Linked DNA regions of Rattus norvegicus. The protein of the gene in region 1 purifies or fractionates together with the protein of each later gene. This does not show direct contact. Links are inferred from orthologs where the notes say so. Each region holds a gene or a part of one and is shown in the gene's direction. Other genes may lie near its edges.

The links.
Region 2: the proteins of Nfkbib (region 1) and Polr1e purify together in Homo sapiens (affinity purification with mass spectrometry; 3 studies listed by BioGRID and IntAct, counting the BioPlex papers as one, with this or other methods). This does not show direct contact. The link is inferred for Rattus norvegicus from reciprocal best matches to the Homo sapiens genes NFKBIB and POLR1E.
Region 3: the proteins of Nfkbib (region 1) and Ikbkg purify together in Homo sapiens (affinity purification with western blotting; 5 studies listed by BioGRID and IntAct, with this or other methods). This does not show direct contact. The link is inferred for Rattus norvegicus from reciprocal best matches to the Homo sapiens genes NFKBIB and IKBKG.
Region 4: the proteins of Nfkbib (region 1) and Rel purify together in Homo sapiens (affinity purification with mass spectrometry; 7 studies listed by BioGRID and IntAct, counting the BioPlex papers as one, with this or other methods). This does not show direct contact. The link is inferred for Rattus norvegicus from reciprocal best matches to the Homo sapiens genes NFKBIB and REL.
Region 5: the proteins of Nfkbib (region 1) and Nfkb1 purify together in Homo sapiens (affinity purification with mass spectrometry; 7 studies listed by BioGRID and IntAct, counting the BioPlex papers as one, with this or other methods). This does not show direct contact. The link is inferred for Rattus norvegicus from reciprocal best matches to the Homo sapiens genes NFKBIB and NFKB1.

What each region holds. Positions count from the first base shown.
Region 1 is NC_086019.1:93,178,331-93,182,694, reverse strand, and holds the start of Nfkbib (NF-kappa-B inhibitor beta), read left to right. Parts: upstream 1-1,307; 5' UTR 1,308-1,566; coding exon 1,567-1,745; intron 1,746-4,364. Other genes in the region: Sirt2 (NAD-dependent protein deacetylase sirtuin-2), read right to left, coding at 323-369, 1,123-1,138. UniProt on the Homo sapiens protein: Inhibits NF-kappa-B by complexing with and trapping it in the cytoplasm.
Region 2 is NC_086023.1:64,084,963-64,088,365, forward strand, and holds part of Polr1e (DNA-directed RNA polymerase I subunit RPA49), read left to right. Parts: intron 1-74; coding exon 75-171; intron 172-1,131; coding exon 1,132-1,265; intron 1,266-3,403. UniProt on the Homo sapiens protein: Component of RNA polymerase I (Pol I), a DNA-dependent RNA polymerase which synthesizes ribosomal RNA precursors using the four ribonucleoside triphosphates as substrates.
Region 3 is NC_086039.1:157,382,725-157,386,489, forward strand, and holds part of Ikbkg (NF-kappa-B essential modulator), read left to right. Parts: intron 1-81; coding exon 82-157; intron 158-3,267; coding exon 3,268-3,411; intron 3,412-3,693; coding exon 3,694-3,765. UniProt on the Homo sapiens protein: Regulatory subunit of the IKK core complex which phosphorylates inhibitors of NF-kappa-B thus leading to the dissociation of the inhibitor/NF-kappa-B complex and ultimately the degradation of the inhibitor.
Region 4 is NC_086032.1:101,901,334-101,905,098, reverse strand, and holds part of Rel (proto-oncogene c-Rel), read left to right. Parts: intron 1-2,353; coding exon 2,354-2,494; intron 2,495-3,765. UniProt on the Homo sapiens protein: Proto-oncogene that may play a role in differentiation and lymphopoiesis.
Region 5 is NC_086020.1:226,707,858-226,711,622, reverse strand, and holds part of Nfkb1 (nuclear factor NF-kappa-B p105 subunit), read left to right. Parts: intron 1-636; coding exon 637-726; intron 727-2,060; coding exon 2,061-2,249; intron 2,250-3,368; coding exon 3,369-3,510; intron 3,511-3,765.

The sequences.
Region 1 (4,364 bases):
CTGAGTTTGGGGATCAAACTGGAACACTGTCTTTTCCAGGTCTAGCACAAATGAGGTTCAGAAGGGATTGAGGATAGGCGGGGCAACAATAGGAGATGAGGACAATATGGAAGGGAACCAGGGGTTGAGGCTATACATTTTCCTTGACAGTCCCCAGAAGCCGCCATTCTCCCAGGAGCTGTACTAATCCCCAGATGGGTTTAGGGATCAGGGCCATAAGCCAAGGGCCCTTGGGTAAAAGCCTTCCCTTGCACCTCCCCCAGTGCGGCATGTGGAACCACGTCCATTTCTCTCCTTCCCTCCACCCTTTTCCCCATCTCACCTGAGCCTCCTGCACCTTCCCTGCCTGGTTCTCCAGAGGGTCAGAGGCTGGGGAGGAGGGGGAGCAGACGTGGTTACAGTGGGGGGAAATAGTTAAGCAGATGAAGGGTTCACAGTGGTGGAGGCGACAATAGGACCCACCAACCTAATTATCCTGGAGTCATGGATGGTAGTAAAACTATTGGAGATGGGGAAAGGCATGTTTTAGAGTGGAGGAATGTGTGAGGAGGGGAAGGTTTGGGAGGAAAAAGCAGGTGAAACGGGACTGAAGGAAGGTTTCAGAGTTAAGCAGGATAAGGTAGCGAGTGCGAGCCAGGAGAATGAGGGAGGGCTAAGTTTTTCAAGAGATGTTAAGTAGGGATACTTCTGCTGAGAGTTGAGTGTGGGAGAGGAGATGCAGTGAAGGTGGGAGGTTTAGGAGAGGCACAAGAACTGAAGGAATGAGATAGAAAGGGGCCGCAGGGGTCCCCAAACATACTATAGTTGCCCTTAACAACAGGCAACCTTAGCAACCGGGATCGTGGTAACTTTGGTCCTTAGCAACGAGGGTCCTCAGCAACCAAAGTGCGAGAAACGCGATCATTCAAAACTTTGCAAATGGACCCTTAAATTTCACAATCCAGAAACCCACCAACCTAGCAATATCGACCACTTAGCAACAGCCCTCCGAATCCCACTCCCTTCAGGCAGCCTCTGTCTCCCACCCCACCGACCTGCCCGCGGGCCCCGGGGCCTGCAGCCCAAAGCCAGGCCCCGGCGCGGCCCGACCCTCCCACCCTCCCACCAGGGCCCCTAACTCACGGTCCGGCTCGGCCATGGGAACGGGGTGGGGGCTCTCGGGACTGTCACCGACTGCTCTGTCCCGTGACGGCAGCGGAAACAAGAAGGAGCCGAGAGAGGATAGAAAAATACAACTCCCGACAGGCAACGCGGTCCCGTAACCGCTTTCATACGGTGCTCCCCTCACGTTATCAAACTACAAATCCCAAAAGGCTTGGCGCCGGCGGCCATATTAATAAAGGGCGTCTGGAAAATCTGGGGAAACTCAGCGAGCGAATGTCCATCTCATTATTCTGATTGGTTCTGGTGCAGTACAGAGGCGGGGTGTGGCTATTTAACACAGTTTGATTGGGTATATGAGGGGGCGTGTTGGGGAATTCCCAATAGGGCGGAAGCGCTGGAGCTCTCGGCAGAACCCAGCGTCAGGCAGGCGACCGCAGGGGGCCACCCGAGGTGGCAGGGGCAATGGCCGGGGTCGCGTGCTTGGGGAAAACTGCAGACGCCGATGAATGGTGCGACAGTGGCCTGGGCTCTCTAGGTCCCGACGCAGCAGCTCCCGGAGGACCAGGTCTGGTCGCAGAGCTTAGCCCAGAGCTGTCTTGGGCGCCCTTAGTCTTTGGCTACGTCACTGAGGATGGGGACACGTGAGTAAACCTTAAATTACCAATTTACCCTAGGGATCTTACCTGAGTCTCCATTAGCCTATGATTTCTGTGGCTTCTTATCTTCTCGTTCCTAACTCTGATTTCTGATGCTGGACTTCCTGACCCATAACCACCAATCACTAAATTGTGAGACTAGTCCGTTTTCACTCACAGTCAAGTGTCTCAACTTTTCTGAACTCTTAAATTTGAGCTTACGATCCCCAAATCGGGTCTGAACCTTTCTGACCACTCTAGTTCCCACATCTTCTGACCTCTTGCTTCCAGATGTGGTCTTTGGTCTTTGGCTATTCTTGTATAAGCCAGATTTTGATTTCCAAAATTAATTCTTGACCCTGAGTCTACGACGCTGACACATCCAGCACTGACCCTGCAATTGAGAAACCGAGCTACTGGGTGTCATGGGCCTCACAGAAGTTGGGAGGCAAAGGCAGGTTGATCTCTGTGAGTTTGGGGCCACCTGATTGAGATGCCGGCCAGCCAGAGCTACATAAAATTTAGAAGCTCGATTCTATGAAGATGGATTCATCTGTTAGCCAAACGTCTCTCCCTAACTACCACCTTTCAATCCCTGGTTTTAGTTTAGCTGAATGTGGTGGTACACACTTGTCATCCCAGCTCTTAAGGGGCTGAGGCAGGAGGATTGCTAGTCTGAGGAGAGCCTGGGAAGACCGGTATCAAAAAGGAGGGATAAGGAAAAGGAGGAGAGGGAGCCTGGGGGGGGGGTGTGGAGCAGGAAATGTTGATTAGTAGATAAACTGGGGAGAAGGGATGGCTGTGGTGACAGTGTGTGTAAGGGAGTGTACCCGGGATTTTCTTGTCCTTTGTGCTCATTGCGTATACCCAGTGACTCAGTGCCTGACCCATGAGGGGAACCCAATAAACACTCATCTTAAAGAGCCAGGAGTAGTTTCCTTAATTTTCTAATTTTTCACTTTCTACTTTATTGGCCCTTGTTCCTTTATTGTTTCCCTCTGGTTATTTAATTTTTGTAATTTCTTTATCCTTTTTTTTTTTTTTTTTGTTCTTTTTTTCGGAGCTGGGGACCGAACCCAGGGCCTTGCGCTTCCTAGGCAAGCGCTCTACCACTGAGCTAAATCCCCAACCCCCCTCTTTTTTTTTTTTTTTTTGTTTTGTTTTGTTTTGTTTTGCTTGTTTGTTTTTGACAGTCTTGTGTAGCCCATGCTAGCCTTCAGGTTGTAGCTGAGGATGGCTTTGAACTTTTCATTCTCCTGTGTCCACCTCCCAAGTGTGTATCACTACATCCAGCTCAGGGATGTGCGTGTGTGTGTGTGTGTGTGTGTGTGTGTGTGTGTGTGTGTGTGTGTTCGCACTAACCACATAGGCTAGACTAGCTGGCCTGAGAGAACCTTGTCTCTTGCTCCCCACCCTCCTCCTCCTCTTTGAGACAGGGTGGCTGACCTGGAACTCACTATGTAGACCAGACTGGCCTCAAACTCATAAAGATCCATCTGCCTCTATGTCCTGAGTGCTGGGACCAAAGGTGTGCGCCTCTGTGCTCTACTCCAGGGATCTCCTAGTGTTAGGATTATAAATACTTACAACCACACCCAGCTTTTTTTTATGTGGGTTCTGAACTAAGGTCACTGTGCTTTACTTACAAAATAGTTCCCCAGCCACCCACTCCACCCCCTTTTTCGTCAGTGTCTTACTATGTAGCCCAGGCTAGCCTTGAACACTACTGTAAAAAATAATAAAAATAATTGATTCAGCCATTTAGCTCCCAACAAGGACTCTGGCACTAATTATTCATTAATAAATGCCTTGGCTACAAGCTTTGGCTCATTCCCTGGCTAACTTATAACCTATTTAACGCATTCAAACTATCCTATGTCTTCCACGTGGTTACCTTTCCTGCAGTCTCCAGCCTGCCTCTTCCTTAGCGTCGTCTTTCTCAGTGTCTCAGTGACCCCTCCAGTGCCTCTCCCTGCATCTCCCTTTTTTCCTCACCATTTCCCAGAATTCTCTCTCTCTTCCTGGCAGTGTCCCACCTGTTTCCTCCCTCAGCTCATTGGCCATAGGCTTTTTTTTATCGACAGGTGTTGCCTTTAAGAAATTCTGTCCACACTATGAAACTTGTCTTTGGTTTATTTTATTTTATTTGTTTTTTGTTGTTGTTGTTTTTTGTTTTTGTTTTTGTTTTGAGATAGGGTTTCTCTGTGTAGCCCAGACTGTCCCAGAACTCTTTCTGCAGACCAAACTGGCCTTGAACTCAGAGATACATTTGCCATTACCTTCCAAATAATTTACTTTATGCGTATGACTGTTTTACCTGTGTACATGTATGTGGACTGTGTTTGTGCTTGTTGGAGCCCCTGGAACTGGAGGTAGGGATGGCTGTGAGCCACAATGTAGGTGCTGGAAATCAAGTCTGGGTCCTCTGCAAGAGCAACAAGTGGTTTTTTTGTTTTTAAAGGTTTATTTATTTATTATATATAAGTACACTGTAGCTGTCTTCAGACACACCAGAAGAGGGCATCAGACCCCATTACAGATGGTTGGGAGCCACCATGTGGTTGCTGGGAATTGAACTCAAGACCTCTGGAAGAGCAATCAGTGCTCTTAACTGCTGAGCCATCC
Region 2 (3,403 bases), on another chromosome or scaffold:
AAATGAGGCCCTGTGGGACGACTTAGCTCCATGGGTTTCCATTTTGTTCAGTCACGTTCTTGACCCGCAACCAGTCCTGTCCCCGGCCGAGTATGATGCTCTTGAAAGCCCATCCGAAGCCTTCAGAAAGGTCATGTCTGAAGACATACTGAAGATGGTGGAAGAGAACAGGTACTCGTGGGTAGATGGGGTTTCAGTGAGTCATGGGAAAAACCAGTCAGATAGAAAGCAGCCCCGTGAAGCATGGGTGGCGTCTGCGCAGCCTGGAATGAAGGAAGGAGCAAGCTTCGATGCTAGGCTTCCAGGAGCTGTGGGTGGATTCAAGGAAGAGGAGTGGTCATGTGTGTAGAGCCTGTAGCTGGGAGATGATAGTAAGGTGCTGTAGTCTGGGGCCGGGGACCAAAGCTTGCCCCGCCTCTACTGTTTGTTGAAGCAGAGTGTCACTGTCAGTGCCCAAAGGCCAGCTTGGGAGCCCAAAGCAAGGCTTCTCTGTGACAGCATGCTGACAGACTTAACTAAAATTAAATACGGATTCTAAACATTATTTATTTTAAATAACAGAGATTATCCATCCCTCTTCTCTTTTGCCATTAAAACAACTTTTTTTTAAATGATAGTCAGATTATTTCTTAGTTCTGAGCCTTTTCTTCTAACTATTCCTTTCTTTTCTAAGATTTTGTATGTGTGTATGTGTGCCTATGACATGGGTGTCATGGGATCCTCTAGATCTGTAGTTACAGGCTGTTGGGAATGGCCCAGGGGAGTGGTAGAAAACAAACTGGAGTTCTCTGCAAGAGCAGCAATACTCTAGTAAGCCATCTCTCCCCTACTCTTTAAAAATTTGATTGTGCGTGTGTGTGTCTGAGTGTGTATGAATGCCTATGTGTTTGTGTGTGCGTGGTGTATGTGTTTGCGTGTGGGTGCACGTGGAGTTTGATTATAGGAGTCATCCACTATTGCTGTCTACCTTATTCAGTGCGATGGAGTCTGTCAGTCAAACCTGGTGCACCCTGAAGGGCGGGCCTCCTTAGCCGTCTTGCTCTGGGTGTATGGACGGTGTGCTGGGGAGGGGGTGTGGCTCCTGAGAGCCTGCTTCCCCTCATGTGCTGCTGTGACCCTTTCTTGTTTTAGCCACTGCTCCTTCATCATAGAAATGCTGAAGTCTTTGCCAGCAGACGAGGTGCAGCGAAACCGGCAAGCCCGGAGCATTTGGTTCCTAGATGCCCTCCTCAGATTCCGAGCTCAGAAAGTGATAAAAGGGAAAAGTAAGGCCCACAGCATTCTCTTATCCCAGCTCTTTCCAGCTGCTGGCTTGTCTGTGGTTCTGACATCACCTCCATCGATGTCTGTCCAGGGCCTCTGTGCACCTTGCCCTTCCTCCTGCTCCCGCTGCCTGCCTGAGCCGCACAGGCCTCTCCTCTCTGAATTTCTTTGTTCTGTTCTGGAAATGGGGACAGGGTGGATGGGGCTTCCAGGGAGCACATTCACTGCTTTTGTTTTGTTAGGAAAACACTGTATCCAGGTCAAATGGAACAAAGAGGGAGTGCGTCAGGACAGACAGCAGTGACAGAGTAGTCAGAGCTTCGATTTGCACCTTCAGGCTGCTTTGGTGTTGTAGGACAGCACAGTCCCACTGTATATTCCTGGCTGGACTGGAACTCTCTGTACAGACCAGGCTGGCCTTGAACTCACAGAGTCATTTGCTCTGCCTCCAGAGTGCCCCATCGAACTTGGCTTGTCTCTCTGTCTCTCTCTCTCTCTCTGTCTCTGTCTCTCTCTCTCCCCCTCCCTCCCTCCCTCTCTCTCATTGTTGTGGTAAAATTTAAAAAGGAACATTTTCTATCTGCTCCCGCAAGCCGGACCCACTCGCTCCAGCTGCTACTCTGCTATGAGGTCTGCAGGCCGCCCTCTCCCGGCTGTCTCCTTTTAGCCGCCCTCTCCACGAGGTCCCCTAGGTGCTAGTTACCACTCTGACACACACATATCTGCTGGCCCTGCGGGTTCTCGCTCCTTGAGGGCAACAGAACCAGATCCACACACTCCAACTGCCTCTCAGCCGTTTCTTTCACACACTGTCCTCTTTAGCCCAGTAAAATCAAAAGTTCCAGAAACTTGTAATTTAGCAATTAGATTTACACGTTAAATTCTCAATCCACAATTCATCCACACAGAAAATTCACTGCCAATTGATAAAGATATAAACCACCCACCTAGACAAGATAAAGTCAATCTAATTCACCTAAATCTGAACCATCCTCCTCCGAAGACTCCATCTCGATCCCCCTTCCTCCTCTCTCCCGACTTACAAAAACATTGTCCCTGCTCCACTCTCTATTGTCCAATCATGTATTACCTTGACATCAAACTACATTTCCTTCCTTCCTCCCTTCCTCCCTCCCTCCCTTCCGCCCTTCCTCCCTTCCTCCCTCCCTTCCTTCCTCCCTTCCTCCCTTCCTTCCTCCCTTCCTCCCTTCCTCCCTCCCTTCCTCCCTTCCTTCCTCCCTCCCTTCCTCCCTCCCTCCCTTCCTCCCTCCCTTCCTTCCTTCCTCCCTTCCTTCCTCCCTTCCTCCCTCCCCTCCTTCCTCCCTCCCTTCCTTCCTTCCTCCCTTCCTTCCTACCTTCCTCCCTCCCTTCCTTCCTCCCTTCCTTCCTTCCTCCCTTCCTCCCCTCCTTCCTTCCTCCCTTCCTTCTTCCCTCCCCTCCTTCCTTCCTTCCTCCCTTCCTTCCTCCCTTCCTCCCTTCCTCCCTCCCTCCCTTCCTTCCTTCCTTCCTCCCTCCCTTCCTTCCTCCCTTCCTCCCTCCCCTCCTTCCTTCCTCTCTTCCTTCCTTCCTTCCTCCCTTCCTTCCTTCCCTGTTTTGGTGGTAGTGTTATAACACTTTATTTCAGACTGAGAAAGTCAGTTTGTAAAGTTAGAAATTCCAGTTCCTCCATGCGGTGGTAGCACAGGCCTTTAATCCAGTCACTTGAGAAGCAGAGACAAGCAGATCCCTGAGCTTGAGGCCAGCCTGGTCTACAGGGTGAGTTCCAGGACAGCCACACAGAGAAACCCTGGCTTGAAAAAAAACTCACAGTTCCACCTGTTTCCAGGAGCGTATGTGGTGGCCACACACTCATACCTACCGTGCAACTTTAAAAACACAATGGCTCCTTTGCTCCGGCCACATTCTCTGCTTAGCTCTGCCAACAGCCAGCTGGTGTCCTGACTGGGATGGGTCCCCTGCCCTTCCCTGGGTCCCCTACCCCTCCCAGCTAGCTTCGCCAAGTCACCAGCCACTACTCTGCCTTTGCCCGAGGATGAGAAACGCTTTAAGACAGTTTTAATATTTTAAAACTTGCCAGATAACACAATTTCTGGGTATAGAATTTATTACCCTAAGCTTACAGCTATCCTATATCAGAAAT
Region 3 (3,765 bases), on another chromosome or scaffold:
GAAGAAGGTGAAGCTGTATTAGGCAAGTTGTGGCTCTACTGGGACAAAGCAGTTTCTCCAGTGACAGCTCCTTTTGCACAGGCGGAAGCTGGCTCAGTTGCAGGCAGCCTATCACCAACTCTTCCAAGACTATGACAGCCACATTAAGAGCAGCAAGGTGAGTGGAGAACATAAGCTAGTAAGTATGTTTTTTCTGGGCTGTCCAGGGAGAGGTTTTCCCCTTCTTCCCCAGTGTACTTGAAAAGGGTGGGCAGTGTGAGTTTTGAGAAATAGCACATCTAGCTTTTGGAAGGGACTCTTAAGTTGCCTGACACTTCAGTGGGGCTATAGCTATGACAGTTTTCGGATAACCACAAGGAGATGGGACATATCCACCTTATAGATGTATAAGGTATCTGGGTCTAGGACCTTTAGATATAGTCTGTGGCAGGGATGTTGTTCTGCATGGCCATTCCTTCATGATCAGAGTTGGGAAGTCTACAAACATTTTGTTTTTTCTAAAAACATTTTTATATTTATTTATATTTATGTAAAAAATATTTTGCCTGCATATATGTATGTACACTATGTGTGTGCTTGATACATGTCGAAGATAGAAAAGAGTGATGGATCTGCTGGAACTGGAGTTATGAATGGTTCTGAGCTGCCTGTGACTGAATCTGGGTCTTCTCCAAGAACAAGTGTTCTTAACTTCCGAGCCATCCTTCCAGCTTCTTTTTTACCCCTCCCAGAAACTTTTCTTAGGTGATTCTGATCTCTTTTTGAGTTTATCCTCATCATGTCTAATGATTACTTTGTGTGTCTACTCACAAACATAGGTGGAGGTCAGAGGACATCATTGATGTTATTCCTCAGGAGCTATACATGACCAGCTCCTTTTCTTACATAGGTTCTGGGGTTTGAATTCAGGTCCTCACAACTACTTTACTAACTGAACTATCTCCCTAGCCTATTCTTTTTTGGTAGAGCCCAGGCATGTTTTGAACTCTGAGGTGGCTGAGACTGGCCTTGAACTACTGATCTTTTTACTTCCATCTTCCTTGTGCTGAAATTACAGGTATGTGCTACCATGACCAACATTCTAGTGGTCCCAGTTTTTCACAATAAAGTTTTTTTAGCTGTTCTCCTCTTTCTCATAAATAGAATGGATTGTCAATAATTCTTTACAACCCATTACTCATATAAAGAAACTTTAACAAGGTTGCCAAAAGCCCACATATTGGTGTTGGGCATAGTAGCACATGCCTTTAATCCTAGCACTCTGGAGTCAGAGGCAGGCTGATCTTGTTGAGTTAGAGGTCAGCCTGATTTACAGAGTGAGTTCTAGGACAGCCAGCTTTATGTAGTTTCAAAACCAAAACCCAAAAACCCCCAAACCAAACCAAAACAACTACTACAAAAAAAAAAACCCAAACCCAAAATACCCCACCATTGAATAAATAACTCCAGAGAGTAATGGGAAGCCAACTGATACTAACAGACTAGAGAATCTGATTTCTAAAGGCATTTCTGCCTTTCACTAAAATTTCTTAAAATTGTTTACCATAAAGAACTGTGCAGTTTTAGAATAGTGCTGCTACTCAAAGTGAAGTGTCCAAAGAGGGATTCATGAAAATGGGAATTTGTTTGTTTTTTAATTAATAAAATGAAGAGAACTAGAATAAAAGGCAGAAGAGCAAAATTAAACCCCATGATATGTGTGTTCATATGTGTGTGTATGTATGTATGTGTTTAACTGCAAAAAATAGTTCTCAAAGTTGCAGAGTTTAAACAAAATTTTATATTTTTATGTATTTATTTTATTATAGCAAAATAGGCAGTTATTTGGGGAAAAATAGTCATTAAAACTTGACCTCTCCCTAAACATATATTTAAAATTTTAGGCTAAAAACTGGATATTTCCATGCCATAATGATTACTACATTTCCATGTAAACATCATCTGCAGTTATGACTATGAATTTTTTTTTACTTCTGTATAAAAGGTGAGCTTCTCTAGCACCTAAATATGGCCTTAATTCAGAAAGTATCAGAAAGTATATGAATAACTTTTCTTTTTTATTTATTTTATTTATTATTATTTTTTATTAGATATATTTCTTTACTTACATTTCAAATGGTATTCCCTTTGCTGGTTTCCTGTCCATAAACCCCCATCCCCACCCCCTCCCACATATGGGTATGAACAACTTTTCAAAGACTATAAATAGTGTTATTCAAGTAGATTAAAAAATACTTGAACACTATTATTTCTAGCAAATACAATAAGGGAGGGCTTAAACAATCAAAACATGAAGACCTCTACCTATATAATATCCCTTATGAAATGAGCTAACTCATATTAATTTAAAAACCCATGTTTTCTTATTTGTCTAAAATTAAAATAATAATGGAAGTCAACTGAGAAAAGAGCTTAAAAGCTAACACAAATTATGCAATGTTAGTGGTCATCTTTTAAGAAGGAATTGTCAAGCAAAATGTACCCATAGGGGATTTTTAAGAAGTAAGCATGATACCAGGTCACATGATGAAGAATTAGTTATAAAACTGCTGCTTACGGGATTGGAAAGATTGTTCAATGATTAAGACCACTTGCTGTTTTTTTCAGAGGACCTAAGTTCTGTTCTCAGTATTCACAATGGGTGGCTAACAACTACTTGCTACTCTAGCTTTGGCAGATCTGATAGCATCTTTGACTTCTGTGGGTGTACACACACACACACACACACACACACACACACACACACCCCTTTTGGAAGGAATTCTTGGTTGAGAGCATGAGTGCATGTGTATAAGGTGTGTTTGACCAAGTAGCAGAGTGGAAGGACCCATGGGTTGCCCCCTTGCCTGATGTATGGTGGACCTGCAGTCTATGGAGAGTTACTGCATAGTTACTTACTTGCTGTGGAGTTGGAAGCCTCAGGAGCGAGGGTAGCTCTTGTTCTTGAAGAGTCAAGAGGAAGGTTGACTAGCTAGGAATTCTCTGACAGGAATGATGCAGAGTACCAGGCAGTATCTTATTTATTCTCAGAGTTCCCATCAGTTCTAAGATCTTTGTGCATCCTAAGAAAGACCTCAGCATTTCTTCTGTAGGGCCACCACAGGATGCAGTATTCTCCCTGCCCGAATTGTCATTGGCCCTGAAATCCAAATGACTGGGTTTGCTCCAGCTTTTCCTACTTAGTTTTCAAAACAATGGCCAGCCAGGGAAGTAACTTGGTTCCACTGTGGGCCAAGAGACTCTGCCAGCACCCTTTGTCTTCTCTAGGGCATGCAGCTGGAAGATCTGAGGCAGCAGCTCCAGCAAGCTGAGGAGGCCCTGGTAGCCAAACAGGAATTGATTGATAAGCTGAAAGAGGAAGCTGAGCAGCACAAGATTGTCATGGAGACCGTTCCAGTCTTGAAAGCCCAGGTGAGGGCTCTGTTCCAGCCTGCCTATCACATGAGTGACCTGCTCGTCCAGGCAATGAGTTTTGATGTGTCTTTTGGACACCATTTGTAGTGGCCTCTCTTAGTCTTGAGCCCTTTGCATTGTTCTTGACTTGGTGCTATTGGGATCATAGGCTTTCACGTGTGCTTCTGATGTACTATCATGGGATCCCAGAAGACAGGACTCTGTTCCTCTGGACATGGCATAGAATGCTTGTTGGGAAGCTGATGGATGGTGGGTGAACACCTCTGTTCTGTTTGCCAGGCGGACATCTACAAGGCTGACTTCCAAGCTGAGAGGCATGCCCGGGAGAAACTGGTGGAGAGGAAGGAGCTT
Region 4 (3,765 bases), on another chromosome or scaffold:
TGCTACATTCAGCCATTCTGAGTTCCTAAGACTTTGCCTGCTAGGATAGACTCAGTACTTGAAGGTGACAGCCATGTAAGATAAAAACCTTAAGTCCAGGTCTGGTGCTGCACTGGTTGAGAGAGAAGGGATATTTCTTCTATTCCAGGATGAGGCTCAGACTTTGTAGAAAATTAGCTCAGGGTAGGGAGTATGACTAAGTAAGTACAGAGCCTGTGACATAAGCGTGAGACCTGAGTTCAATTCTAGCATCCATTTGGAAAGAGCTAGGCATTCCCAACACAAGGGAGGTGGCTCCCGGTGGATTTCTGGGGCTGTCAACGTTCAGCGATTGACCCTGTCTCAAAATACAGTGGAGGGCGGTCGTCCTGATCTCTGCCCTCCACATGACTTATCTGTACATGCGTGTGCACAGACCAGGCAGTTCTCAGTCGAGCTTTCACCCTGTACTGAGTCCAGGGCTCGCCTGTGGTCCCTGGTCATCAGTGATTTTTAACCATGTTGTACAGAGACGGGAATGATACTGATGCAGTGAAACGGTCTCTCTACATAGAGAAAGAGCAAAACAAAATTCCCCAAATGATAATCCTTTGTGAAAATAGAATTTCTTGCCTTTGATAGAATCATTGTGTGGCTAACTATATTTATATTTTAGGTTATTAGCCATTTTATTTTTCGTTTATATATCACTTTAATTCTTTAAACTCTCATTGGCAAATACCTGCACCCAGATACAGCCTCTCATGTAACCTCAAGGCAAAGAAACATTTCCCCACCCACAAAATGGCTTTGATCTTTCTTAGTCAGCTCTCTCCTTCATGTCCTGCCCCAGTCAACAGCTCCATTCCTTTCCGCCAGCACACCTAACTTTTCTAGGGTTTTATAGAGTTGGAAGTATATTCTTTTCTAGTCTATATGTTTCCCTGTCTGGGTCCATTTGGTCTTACTGTTTTTGCAGTGTGTATTGTTGGAGTGTATAGCCACAGTTTGTTCTTTACTGCTGGGTGTTAGTCCATTCTATGACTATACACAGTTTGTCTCTATTAACATAAATTTATTTGTAAACTCAGGAGCACCTAGCCATTCATTGATTTTGTCTGTCTGTCTGTCTGCCTGTCTGCCTGTCTGCCTGTCTGTGTTTCTCACTAGCCTAGAGCTTGACCAATAGTCCTGCTTCTGCCTTCCCAGCCTGGAATTATTACCCAGGAGCCTTACTACTGCACCTGGCTTTATCGCATGGATTTGGAGGGCTGAGCTTGTACTTACAAGGAAATTACTTTATCCACTGAATTATTTCTCTCAGCCCCATTTTGACCTTTCTAGTTGTACGGGTATGTTTTCATAGACCCAAATGTTAGGCCTAAGAACACTGACACTGGAAGAAATCTCAGTGTTAGGATAACTCCTGAGACTGTTTGACTGACATTGTGTGAGATACTTTTTTTTTTTTTAAATTACTCATCACCTGTAAGACTGGGGAATTTAGCTAGTTATTTTTCAAATTTAATCTTTTAATTTTGATAGCTGCATCCCTTCCAAGTAAATTTTTCATGTAATTTAATGAATTTCGTGCTTTTAAAATATGACATATATTAGTAATAATGTATTGCTACAGGCCTAGAATATTTCAAAAGGCAGCAATATTTTGTTTTAGAAATGGACTTCTTTTCAAATATCAGTGCAAAGAGGCTATTCACCTGCAATATTCTGTGGCAAGGTTTTATATTTTTTCAGGACCGTAAAAGTGCCCCGATGTGCAGTTCGTTTTTAAGCTGACTTGATTTACACATTAAGTTAGATCACCGGTATCTTTTTCTCGTTGCATCTCTAAAATGCCGGGGCATAGTTAATATGGCCCCTCTGGTTCAAATTCCCACACTATTATTTAGCTGTAAAATTTGGGACAAATAACGTCATCTCCTTAAAATCCGTGTCTCACCTATAAGAACACGGACGATGACGGTTTCTGCTAGATTAGAAGATAATTACAGACTGGGCGAAGTACTGTGTTAAATGAAGAGTGCCTATTTGCCACCACCTATGAATTGTGTCCACATTTAAGATTTTTGCTTTATGGTGGTCAGTTTATGGTTCTGACCTTAAGTCTCTGGTCTCTGGTGTGGTCTCTCCCTGAGCATGGCTACAATTTACCATAGGCGGTTAAATAGTGAGTGCACAATGAGCTGTAAGGAAAGCTAATCTTGAGACGGTACACCATCCTAGTTCTCTGCAGACAGAGGTGCAGACTGAGCTTATTGGGTGTTGGGGAGAGAGAAAGACAGCAGGATTTTGGTCTTATGTAAGTATTAGTGTTATGTGTTCTCCGCTCTAAGCCTGAGATTGTACCATTCAGTCCCTGAACAGCAGCTGCTGGACATTGAAGACTGCGACCTCAATGTGGTGAGGCTGTGCTTCCAAGTTTTCCTTCCTGATGAACATGGTAACTTCACAACCGCGCTGCCTCCCATTGTTTCCAACCCGATTTACGACAACCGTAAGTGCTTTGATTTTTTTCTTATGTCTGTACTCTTAGCTTGTCTTGTTTCCTTGACTGCTGAAAGGTCTAAAGGATTTTCATAACTTGAAAAGGAGTACATTAGGTGGGATTAGTGGTTTGCACATATAATTCTAGCAACCAGAAGTCTGAGTCAGAGGTAAAGTTTGAAGGCATTATGGGATGTACGTTGAGACCTCATCTCAAGAAACAAAAAGAAGCCAGTGGTGGTGCATGTCTTTAATCCCAGCACTCAGACACAGATCTCTGTGGGTTCAAGGCCATCCTGGTCTACACTGTGATTTCCAGGATTAAATCTTATTAGATTATTATTAAAATTATAAGATTATTATTAAATCTTATTAAAGAGATCCTGTCTCAAAACAAACAAACAAATAAATAAAGCAGTGTCCATTACAGAAAAAAATTCCTCAAGTATATACACATATATAGGAAGAATAGCAAATGACTGTTAGTCCCCTCCAAAATGGCCACTGTCCTCAAACACACATTGCAGTCCCTTTGAACAAACACAGACACCATCCTTCTCAGCACTCTCATTCACCCACTGTGTTTGGCAACTTAAAAAAAAGGATCAGTGATCTTTTAAAAAACCTTTTTTCAATCCTTCGTGGTAGTGCATGCCTATAATCATGGCACTTGGGAAGTCGAGGCAGGCAGATCAGGAGTTAAGTTTTCCTTGGCTGTGTTTAAAAATAGGAGTTCAAGACGATACTGTGTTACATGATTCCCCAATTTTTCTCTCACAATGTATCTTGAACCTTTTTCAATCACATTTTTCTTTTTCTTTTCTTTTTTCCTTTTAAACACTGCCAGCAATTGAACCAGGTCGTCGTACACAGCTATACCCCAAGCCCCACTTAGGTTTCCAGTAGCTACATATTTTCTTTCATCCATCCATCCTTCCTTCCTCCTCCCTCCCTTCCTCCCTTCCTTCCTCCTCCCTCCCTCCCTTCCTTCCTTCCTTCCTCCTCCCTCCCTCCCTTCCTCCTCCCTCCCTCCCTTCCTCCCTCCCTTCCTTACCTCCTCCTCCCTTCCTCCCTTACCTCCTCCTCCCTCCCTTCCTTCCTTCCTCTTCCCTCCCTTCCTCCCTTCCTTCCTCCCTCCCTCCCTTCCTTCCTCCCTTCCTCCCTTCCTTCCTCCCTCCCTCCCTTCCTTCCTCCCTCCCTCCCTTCCTTCCTCCTCCCTTCCTTCCTTCCTCCTCCCTCCCTCCCTTCCTTCCTCCTCCCTTCCTTCCTTCCTTCCTTCCT
Region 5 (3,765 bases), on another chromosome or scaffold:
GTGACGCCGCTGTCGCCTCAGATGTTAGCTTAAGCATTTCTATGGAAACGCAGTTCTTCTAGAAGCGTACTTAAGTGCGCTGTTCAATGACTCATACCTATAGCATAACTGACTTCAGTGCTGTTTCCTGTTTTCTGTGTAAGATACCGTGCTGAGCATGGCTTTCCTTTATTCCAGATAACATGTAAACGCTTCAAACTGTATGTCAGAGAGTGTGGTGTTAAGTGCTGGCTGGTCCTCCAGAGAAATTTATCATTCATCTTTCCACTGAAAATGAACGTGCTGACCATTTTTTCCACTAAAGTATCAGTATATTACTGTACTGGGTTTTCCTCACCAGGGGTCATCCTATGTTACTGTAGGTCTGAATCTTGGTGTGATGGCTTACCATCAGCTTTTCCCTTCTCTGGCAGGAGAGGGCCTGCTCCGCATTAAAGTCATCCAGGCTGCCAGTCTGGGCACTGCCTGGGTTGCCACAGTGAAACTGAACTGTCCGTTTCCCACAGTGTACCCTGCTAACTCTGGCGGAGCCTGTGTAGGCCAGCGCCTCCCCACACCAAGGCCTGCCTCCCCTGAGTGGGTCACCATAGTGTTAAAAATCTCCCTGATGTTCCCTTTGTCTCATTGCTGGTTCAGGGTATGGCTTCCCGCACTATGGATTTCCTGCTTACGGTGGGATTGCATTCCATCCCGGAGCCACTAAATCCAACACAGGCATCACCCATGGTAAGTCAGAGCTGAGTACCAAGAACACTGCGTGGGCATCAGGATGGTCCTTAAAAGCTTGAGGAAATAACTTTCCAGTAAATCCGTACTTGACGTTATTCTAGGACAGCATAAGGAACACTCCTGACACATATCTGCTCATCACACTGTATTTATGGAAGCAGAACAGAGGCTTTAGACAGAAGATACAGACTTGGCTATGCAAACGTGGAAATGCCACCTTCATGCCTGTCCCTTCACCTCACATCCCACCCTCTTGAAATCAGTTTTTGTTGTGTGGAGTCGGGCTGTTTCCACTCTCAGGCATCCTCTGAGTAGCTGTGGTTACAGGCTGCTCATGGCTTCTATAAACCATTCTTTGGTACCATGGAAATCATTCTATAAAGTCTCTTCATACATAGCGCCTATTCATGCCAGATGCACACATCACTGTAATCTTTTTTTAAAGATCTTAACTGACATTATAGTTTTATCCTATAATCAGGTCACCATTCGTCCCATAAAACAGAATTCCCATTACCCACAACCTCATGACCCCTGTGCATGGCGAACACTAAGCCCAGCCCCTTCTCGACAGAGGTGAGCTTCAGAAACTCTCGGAAGACACAGCAGCAGGATCAGGTTCTGTACCAGGTCTGCCCGGGAGTCTGACCTGTCGCACTGTCACATAACATGGTTCCGACAGCAACCATATTCAGACATGGCACACAAGAAGGGGCCACACGGAAGGGGAATGAGCTCTGCACAGCTCCCTTCCCTCGTTACTCAGCGTTAGGAAAGAAAATAACCTTACACTCCAACCGGCTCTCAGCGTGCAGAACTTTCTCTCACGTTTCTTCTTCACAGGTAACCGAACTGAGATTCATTTCTTGTTTCTCTCTGGTTTTGTTTGAGAGAGAATGTCACTGTGTGACCTTGACCTTGTGGGACATTTTGGGTGGGACTCGCCAAATCTGGCTTCAGAAATAAGATGTGAGTGTTGGAAAGACAAGCTTTTGAATTGTTTCTGAATGTTTGAACTATGTCTGAAACAGCCCAGGTGTTACGGCGCACATCTTTGCACTTGGCAGGCAGAGCCAGGCCAACTGCTTGTGAGTTCAAGGCCAGCCAAAGCTACACAGCAAAGCCCTGTCTGAAAGAGTAAAGAAATAAGGAAATATAAGATATGTCCAGAACACGTTATTTATGTTATAAATATTTATAGTTTTCCATTTTCAGCCAACATCCCTCCTTCCTGTTTTCCTTCCTTCTGCCCTGTGTCAAGACAGTGAGTTATAGCTCAATTAAAAGATTTTTACTAAGAAAAACACTGATGTTTTTGCACTTTTTCCTAGGCACCATAAACACCAAATTTAAAAACGAGCCTAGAGATTGTGCCAAGAGTGACGACAGGGAGATTCTGAATCCCCCTGAGAAAGAAACACAAGGTGAGGGGCCCAGCCTGTTCATGGCCAGCACCAAGACCGAAGCAATTGCCCCGGCATCCACCATGGAAGACAAGGAAGAGGATGTGGGGTTTCAGGGTAGGTGAACGTGCCCACGAGGGTTTCCAGGGACAGCTGGGGAGGGTGCAATTCTAGGTACAGGAAGCTGTCTCCAGAAGACAGGTTTCCTTCCTGCTGATCTAAAGCTGATGGGTCAGCATCTCGTTTGAGTGCTCTGTGCGGTGCCCTGGGCCTTGCAAGAGAGGCGTCTTGTAGAACCATTCACCTTTGCAGCATCAGATCTGACTATAAAATGCAGAAACTTGCACGTACATTGTCCAGTCATATGCAGTTCTGGGTATGAGAAGAGGCAACTCACGTTGTCCCTGGCCCAGGTCACAAGGAAGTTTCCATGTCCTTCACGTGCCTCCCAGCAGCCAGCTCAGCTGCCTCCTTGAAGATGTTTGCCCGAAAATGGGACTTTTCCTTCTTTTCTTTTGCCCTCCTTGAAGAAGCAGAATGAAAAGGAAATGCTTCCTGAGAGCAGGTCTCATTAGCATATGAGTCATAATTCTAGGTCAGAAGCGGTCTGTGAAGAGATAGTAACTATTTAGACATGGTGACCATACATAGTAACTGTTTAGACATGGATGGTGACCATACATGGTTACTGTCTTGCACTGTCCTTTTATTCTGTTTCTTAAATACCTCCCTTGACATGCACAGTATATGTCTACCAAGCCATATCAAAACAGGCTAGATCGTCCATTTGTGCTGAGGTCCCAGTTTGCCATCCCTTGACCTTAAGGCAATAAATTTTCCAAAAATGCTAGGGCTTTCTTTCTGAGTCTGCCTGGGACTGGAAGGGCATGTTCCTTCACTTTAGCTCAGACTGGATTCCAGAAGAGAATTTGTTTACAAAAATGATTGTTTATTCAAAATTATGCCAAAGTCCGAGTACCCTGAGATTGGTTGCTCCCCTTAAATCACTGACGCTGATTGTTCTTCTTAAAATAGCAGTTATATCTAGGTGGCTCCTCTCGGCCCACAGACACTTTAAAATCAAACTCTTAACTGTATCGTCTGTCAGTGAGACAATGCCCAACTGTGCCTTTCTCTAGTCAACACAACCCAGAAGCGCCAAAAGGAGCTTTTTTCAGCTACACACGTAGGGCGAGCAAGTGAGACTTAGCTGTGGTTGTGGACATTGCCTTGCAGATAACCTCTTTCTTGAGAAGGCGCTGCAGCTCGCCAAGCGGCATGCCAACGCCCTCTTCGACTACGCGGTTACGGGAGATGTGAAGATGCTGCTGGCGGTACAGCGCCATCTCACCGCGGTGCAGGATGAGAACGGGGACAGGTGAGTGGAGTGGGGACGGCTGCACAGCAAATGCTGTCTCACACAGCAAATGATAGGGATAAGCAAGGATGCTGCTGGTGCAAGCCGCCTACAGAGGGAACACTCTGGGGCTGTAGTCAAAACAGAGCTCTGCCCTCATCAGACAAGGCCTCCAGTGTGCTGCCTCCCTGGGCGAGAAGACTCAAGTGTGTGAGCATGTTAATTTTAAACCCTTGCCTTGTGTGTAAAATAATGTTGAGAAAACTATTGACAGTC